2 linked regions of the Diceros bicornis minor genome follow. The protein of the gene in region 2 purifies or fractionates together with the protein of the main gene of each other region. This does not show direct contact. Links are inferred from orthologs where the notes say so. Each region holds a gene or a part of one and is shown on either strand. Other genes may lie near its edges.

The links. Proteins that work in one complex are often made in the same cells at the same time.
Region 1: the proteins of RBBP7 (region 2) and BRMS1L purify together in Homo sapiens (affinity purification with mass spectrometry; 4 studies listed by BioGRID and IntAct, counting the BioPlex papers as one, with this or other methods). This does not show direct contact. The link is inferred for Diceros bicornis minor from reciprocal best matches to the Homo sapiens genes RBBP7 and BRMS1L.

Annotation. Positions count from the first base shown.
Region 1 is NC_080744.1:13,663,445-13,667,193, forward strand, and holds the start of BRMS1L (breast cancer metastasis-suppressor 1-like protein), read right to left. Parts: upstream 2,417-3,749; 5' UTR 2,339-2,416; coding exon 2,197-2,338; intron 1-2,196. UniProt on the Homo sapiens protein: Involved in the histone deacetylase (HDAC1)-dependent transcriptional repression activity. When overexpressed in lung cancer cell line that lacks p53/TP53 expression, inhibits cell growth.
Region 2 is NC_080781.1:13,856,403-13,860,151, forward strand, and holds the start of RBBP7 (histone-binding protein RBBP7), read right to left. Parts: upstream 2,383-3,749; 5' UTR 2,368-2,382; coding exon 2,220-2,367; intron 1,936-2,219; coding exon 1,791-1,935; intron 1-1,790. UniProt on the Homo sapiens protein: Core histone-binding subunit that may target chromatin remodeling factors, histone acetyltransferases and histone deacetylases to their histone substrates in a manner that is regulated by nucleosomal DNA.

The DNA of each region.
Region 1 (3,749 bases), on a different chromosome or scaffold from region 2:
ATAGCAAGGAAGTATATGACTCATTTTTTTAACTTTTCTAAAACAGATTAAAATTATTTCTGGCTCTTAATAGCCTACACCTTGGCTATTTAAAATCTGGTCTCTCAAGATGACTCACTCCCCAATATCTCTGGATAGTAGAGTGTTTTCTGTAGCCTTAGGACCTGCTTAGTACGAAAGTTTGAGAAGAATAAAACTGCAGAAGTTTAACGTGCAAGATATATGGTAGAAAAGAGACGCTTTTACAAGAAACAAAACTGCAAAACTTATTTAAATAATTTCTTTGCACTTAAAAAATCTGACTTGTAGTTCAAATTATTATTACATTCTTCACAGATTAAGTTGTCCATTATTTTCTGGGATGGAATAAAAACCAATGAAAAAATCAAAACAGTCAACATAAAAATTAGAGAGGGAGAATTTTAACACATAGGTGTCATTTTGTAGGATCCTAGCTCCCACCAAAAAAACAAAGAACACTTGATGATAAAATGTTTTACAAATCTAGGAAATGTATTCACATACAATCTAGATGTCCTTTTTCAGTATTCCTCACTTTTGAAATCTCACCTACTTTCATAACTAGGCAGATGACTTCAGATTATGCTTCCCATCCCAGGCAGGCTCCAATGCCACATTTCCATCTGTCAGCTGGGCGCTCTGACTTAAATATACCACTATCACCTCAAAAGCGACATGTCTGAAATATTCTATCTTCCACCTTCATCTCAAATCTTTTACTTTTCTACTTCTCTTCATGCTACCACCAATTCTCCTTGTATCTGGGTTTTTCCTCTTACCTTCATTCCTCAACTTGCATTCATCAATCCTGTTTTATGCTTTTTCGAAATCTTTCACATCTATACCTTCCTTTTCTAGCTCAAACCCTTCTCCCAACCAAACTGGTTTTCTGACTCTTTTGAATAAGCCTTAAGCTCTGACCTTTCCACTTTTTCTTACATTCCTCCCCCTATGGAAACACCTGACCATTACCACCCCAATCTAAATTCTACCCATTCTTCAAGATAATTAAGGTAATCCCACCTTCTTCAACTAGCCTTTGCTGACCACCCTATTCTGAAAAGATTTCCTCTGCCTCTGAATTCCTACAGCATTGTTTATAGTTAAGCATTCATTTGACAATTTAATCAAGTGGTGACTTATGACAGCTCTTTAATTGAGATCAGATCATAACTATTTATTTATACCTCACACTGAGTAGCGCCCAGTCCTGCACAAGGAAGTCACTCATAAATACTTATTTTTGGATGGCTAATATACTAACTGAAATTACATACTTCCATGGAGATTTGCTTTAAAAGGGAAACCTGAAAAGAGAGCGTTGGGGCGATAACAAACTGTCATTAACTTGTCATCAGTCCTTGCTTTACATGGCCAAAATCAGGCCAAGAAAGAAATGTCTCATCCTCATCACTGGCATAGAAGGAAAAGAATCTTAATCACAAATTCCATTTATTTTCTTAATAGCCATTCCTAAAAGTTTGCAAAACTGATTTGTGGCGTTATCTGCCTCCCACTCCCATAAGCATAGGAATACTCAAAATCACCCCTGATGCTGGGCTCTTCTTAGTCCTGAAAAGTTCAGAGAGATGCCGTAAACCGGACAGCTCCCAAGTCAGCCCCCGCAGGAGCACCGCTGTGAAGCGCTGACTGACAGGCTGACTTCGATGCTGAGGTTACGAAGTTCTAAGCCAGCCAAGAGCAGGTACACATCTACCGTCGGGCCGGACAACACACCCGTGTTGAGAAGTAAGGGTTGTAAAGGTGAAAAATAAGGAAAGAAGTCGGTGGTCTGGGAAAGGAGGCATTTCCAGGGTCTCCCAGACAAGCTGCGGGGCATCCCCCGCGTCGGTCGCTAGCCCCGAGCACTGCCCGGAGGCCCCAAGGGCGGGTCCGACGGCGAGCAGGACGGCGCAGCGTCCCGGGGCTGGGCGAGCCCAGGCCCGCGCTCCGCCCCGCCCCGCCCCGCCCCGCCCCGCCGCCGGGGACCCGCCCGCAGCCAGGCAGCGCCCCGCGACCGGTCCCGGCGCCGCCGAGGGCCGGGAGCCAGTCTCCGCCCCTTCCCTCTCTCCCCGCCCCGCTCTCCCAGCAGGACGCAGCTGCCCGGCGTGCGGAGAGCGGCCTGTCGCGCGCCGGGCGCGAGGGCTCGGGTCCCAGCCCCGCTGGGTCGCGCACCTGAGCTGTCTCCATCCTCGGAGACCGACGAGCTCTCCGTGTCCTCGTCCTCCGAGCTGCTCCCCTCGTTTTCGGCGTAGTCCACCTCCATCTCATCGTGATGGTTCGTCTCCTTCTTATCCCCTCGGGAGTGGACTGGCATTTTCCAGCCGCGCCGCCGCTTCCCACTCCCGGCGCCCAGCCCGGCCACCGCCGCTTCAATGAAGGGCGCGCCGGACGCCCCGACCCACCCAGCGGCCGAGCTCGGTCTGAACCCCCTCGACTCCTCCCCGCCCCCGGCCCGAGCCTCACAACCTAACCCGCAGGCTCTGGGCTGGGAGCTCTGCCATTGGTGGAAGCCGTCCTCCGAGCCGGGGGGCGGAGCTTGCCCTGCTCGGATACGGTTGGTTGCCCGTAATTACAGCGCGGCCTTGCGGTGGGTGTCGGGAGTTGTAGTCCTTACTGCTCAGACCTGCAGGGGCTGCCTGTTTCCAAGCCTCAACAACCCTGATCACTTCTTCCCTCTGGACTTCAAGTCCCACAAGGCACAAAAGCTGACAGATTTGATCGCACTTTATAAACTAAACAGAAACAGATTGTGCGATTTTGGTCTGTATTTATTCTTTTCCCGCCAAGTGATTGTCTGAGCTCCCTGGCTCTCCAAGATGTTACTGTCAGAGGTGAAAAGTTTTCTTGCGTGAGGATTTTTCCTCCTCTTTGAGCCTGGGGGAACTGGAGAAACGTCTCTTCTACCTAACCACCTTTATTACTACTAATAAACTATTATATTGAACTGCAGACGATAAGTGGCACTTTCTATGCTGCACAAAAATCTTTAAATTGTTCTTGAAACTTTTGCAATTGATAATATAGAAAGGATGGAAGTTTTATCTTGGCATTTTCATTTAGTATTTTTTGCATTTATTTTTTACCACATGCAACCTAAAGATGCTACCAGTCTTGATTAACTTCAGTTATCAATGAAAACACATATTTGACTTAATGAAATGTTATATTTTCTCAATGATAGGGATGACAGACAATGAAGATTCAATAACTATCATAAACATAATAACTCATATTAATTGACCACTTTTACTTTGTATCAGGTACCCTGGTAAGCTCCTTACATAGGTTATATTGAGTTTAATTCTCAATTTAATAACCCTGAGGTAGGTGCTATTATTATCCCCATTTTACAGATGAGGAAACTTCATTTGCAGACAAATCTAAAAACTGTATTTTATCCATTATAAAGACAGGGCTTCTTCTTGAAGTGGCAATTTGCTACTGAAAGATATTTCATAGAATATTGTGAATTGTACAGCATTTCTTTCTCAAACACAAGGTCCAAAGACATTTGATGGAGGATGGTAAGGGTATCCAGCCATAACTGCATTAAAGTTAGATTTAGAATTTAATGATGGAAAGCATTTCAAGGGCTATGCATCTTCTACAGGGTAAAATCCAAAGTAAGGGGCTTGTGTTATCTAGCGTCAGCCTACTTCTCCTCACACAAACTATTTCCCATTTCAATGTCTTTGCACATCCTATTCTCTCTGCAACTCTCTTCC
Region 2 (3,749 bases):
TTCTTCATACGCAAAGAACACCATGGCATACATAATTTAGTTAAAGTATTTTCTGTTAAGTTTCTAAGCGTTAACATAAAAGCAATATCTGGGCTGAGAACATATAGCTCTATTATCTTTAAAATCTTTATGCAAAACACATTATAGGTAACATTTTAAAAAGACTTCAGTAAGCAGCTTTCATTGAAATCCAAATGGAAAAACACAGTTATTCCATCCTATCTAACAAATTATTTCTGAACAAAAGGGGTGTAAAAATCAGCATCAGTCACCACTTACTGTGTACTTACTCTGCACCAGCACTTTCACATGCACGATCTTATTTAATTCCCTCAAATGCAAGCAGTCAGTACCATCAGCACCTCAATTTACATACCAGACAACTCCGTCTGATAGAGACTGACCAGCTTGCTCGAATTCACAAAGCTACTAAGAAGCAAGGGGCAGAATTCAAACTCAGGTCTCTAACCTTAAAGCCCCCGCTCTTTTCTACTGTTACAGTAGGTCAGAAACATCCAAGAGAATGTAAATTAAGTTGTTAAAGTTTTAAATCTGCTTAACAGGAAAACACAAAGAGTAAAATGCACAAGATGCTCTAAACCAGAACCTGGATACCCTTAAGTATTCGATGCTCAAAGTTGTTTTATCAACGCTTAGACCTCTCCATTATTTAGTTCTTGGCTACTCTTCCCACATCTGTGTATTTATGTTGAGATTTTTGGGAACCCCAAGGGAAGCCCCTATCTGTATGGAAGTCAATGACGGCATATGGAGAATGTGGCTGTTATATGAGTAATTTTATATAAACTAACTCTTATTTTTATAACGTCGCAAAATCCCCTTTCTAGATTAGAGTTTGATTAATCTTCATTAAATTATATGCTCACAATACCCAAATTTAATACACTTGTAAAGTACATAGCCAAATTCCTACTAGAAAAAGTGCAAGTATATAAGAAAGGTAACCTAGTGCAGGGGATACCTCGACTCTGGGGCCATCCGGTTTGGGTTCAAAAACCTGATCTACCACTTACCAGCTGTGTAATCTTGGACATGTTACTTAACATCTCAGTCCCAATGTCCACATCAGTAAAACAAGGATGATAAAAAGTAATCCTAGTGCTGTTGTATTAAACCCAATAACAGCATGTAGAACTTTTCAGGTGTGCCAGGCCCCGTTCTAAGTGCTCAAATGTTAGCAATTACTACCAGAGACGTTTTAGAAATAGCTGAAAAGAACACTCGTATGAAGACCAACAGCAATCTCAAACTGTATTTCATACTATAAGCCAATAACAACACCTTTTCTTTGGTGAGCTGTTGCTAAATTCTTTTCCCCTTTGCCAATTAAAACATACTCATCTTGGGGGCTGGTTACATGGGTTCATGGTTACATAGTTCACCGTAAAAATTCATCAAGCCATAGGCTTATGATTTGTGCACTTTTCTGTACATATGCTATTTTTCAATAAAATTTTAAAGAAATCCATTAGTCTGAAGCCCAAAGAGACACCGCTCTATATTTAAACCCAAGAAATGTCAAACATATCCAGCGCTTCCTACAAATACAATTAATCTCACAGCAGATTCTTTCTCCCCTTTTAACGCCACACTTATACGTCAGAAATCATCCCATAAACCACTTAAATTTTGAAAATAAAAATCACCTGCCACCTCATCCAAGGGCTAAATTGATTACATTTTTCTGTTCTATGTATAAAATGCCAAAATTAGGAAATTCAGGACAAGAGTTAAATTCGTGCAAAATAAAAGTTGCCAGACACTCTTACTTAGTCACTTCAGGAAGCCACTGAACGGTAAGACTCGGCCACTGCAGAGCATGTGTCATAACCAGGTCATACAGAAACGGTGTATTCTTCTTCCAGATTTTATATTCTTCATTGATGACACGCTCCTCCACAGTATCTTCAAACACTGAAATTTGGAGAAAGCCCATACGATTAAGCGGCTGAGAGGGATCAAAATCAGAATCGATACACAGATACTGGAGATCACCTCGAGACGGCCACACCTAATCTACTCTTTGCCTTTAACCTCTAATTTGGACGCGAACAACTGCTCTTCCAGAATGTGGAGAGAATATTAACACCAGAAAGCTTATTTTTTGCAGTTTGAGATCAATACCGCCTGCGTATTCAGAACGGAGTAATTAATTACACGGACACGGAAACTGTCTTGCTGGTTACTGCTGTTCGCACCTGTTCTAAGATGACGACCCGTATGTAGAGGAGCTCCACGACCCGCCCCGGGAGACGAATCCACGTGTAGCAAAACCCCATCGGCCCGCTCCCTCCAACCCCCACCAGGAGAGGCCTCCGCTCCCACGAAACCGGTGTCGGCAGCCATAGGCCGGCGGGTTCCAGAATCCCCCGGACAAGGGCCGCGACCCCGAGGCGGTCGACGCGCGCGCGTGGAAGAAGCCGCCGTGCCCGCTTTCCGGCGGCGGAGACCGCCTCCACCCGGGACCGAGGGCGCGGGAGGGAGCGCCGCCGCCGGGAGGGGGGGTCCGAGGGGAGAGAGGGAAGGGGGCCCACCCCGCGGCCCCGCGCCCGGCTCCGGAAGTGCTCAAAGCCCTCAGCGCCGCGGCCCCGTCCCGCGTAGGCCCTCGAGGCGCGCGCCCAGCCTCGCGCCCGGCCCCGCCCCCTGCTCCTCACGCCAATTCGCGCCTTTCGCCGGCGCGTGCCGCGGCCTCGCGCGCCCGCCGCCCCCCGCGGCCCCGGCGTGCGCCGCCCCGCAGGGCCTCTTACTCTCTTTACTCGCCATCTTGCGTCGGGTCGTTCGCCCCTCGCCGCCGCCTCAGACTCCCCTCGCTAGCCAAGAGCAGCCCAACCGCAGGCGCTCCTGCCTTTCCCAGGCGCGTCACACACTTCTAGCTCTCGAAGCGTGAGCTCCGGCTCACAGCCTGGGTGCTCCCCAGACGCCGCGTCCTTCTCTCCTGCCTCCTCCCCGCTCGCGGGTACCGAGGTCTGAGGCGCTCTTCTCTCTCTCTCTCCAAACTTGGAACGAGACTTTTCAACCCGCGCCTCTCAGCCCGCCCAGGCAGCTGAGCGCAGGCGCATCCGCCCTGGGAAAAGCGAGAGGCGGTGGAGAGGCGGACCTGGGAGCCAACGGCTTCATCGCCTCGACCAATGACGTGCGGCAAGCAGGTTTCACGCGGCGTTCGGAGGCGGGCTTCTGGGGGTGCGCAGGGCGTTCCGCGGCAGGAAGTTGGCGAGGCGCAGGCGCGAGGGCTCGCCCGGCGCTCCCAGGGCCGGCCGCGGGGGCGGATGGGGGTGCGCTGGGGGTGGGGCGAATGGAGGCGCGGCGTGCGGGCTGCACGGGGGCTGCGAGCCTCGCGGAGGCGAGCCCCGGGGCCGTGGGGCGTGGCTGCTTGCAGCGGCCGTGGCGGTGGGGGTGGGAGGGGGGCAGGGAGGCTGCCTCCGCTTAGCCAAGCAAAATCTCAGAGCCAGAAAGGAAAATGGTTTCTAGTCTGGAGAGATTACTGTGCCCGCAAAGTCTACCCAATAATCACGAGCATGCAATTCTGTGCACCTTGAAAGGTCTTCCACCAGCCGACTGGCCTTTCGTGGGGCTCGGTCGAGCCGAGGTGGGGTTTGTCGGAGGCAAAGGGGACTTTTTGCAGAGGCCGCGGGCGTTTTCTGACTGCAGAAGCCGCCGGGCCTCCCTGTTAGGCTAAACCTGCGGCCTGTGCTGGCACAGGCCGCCAACGGCCCGACGCTCTTTTGAAT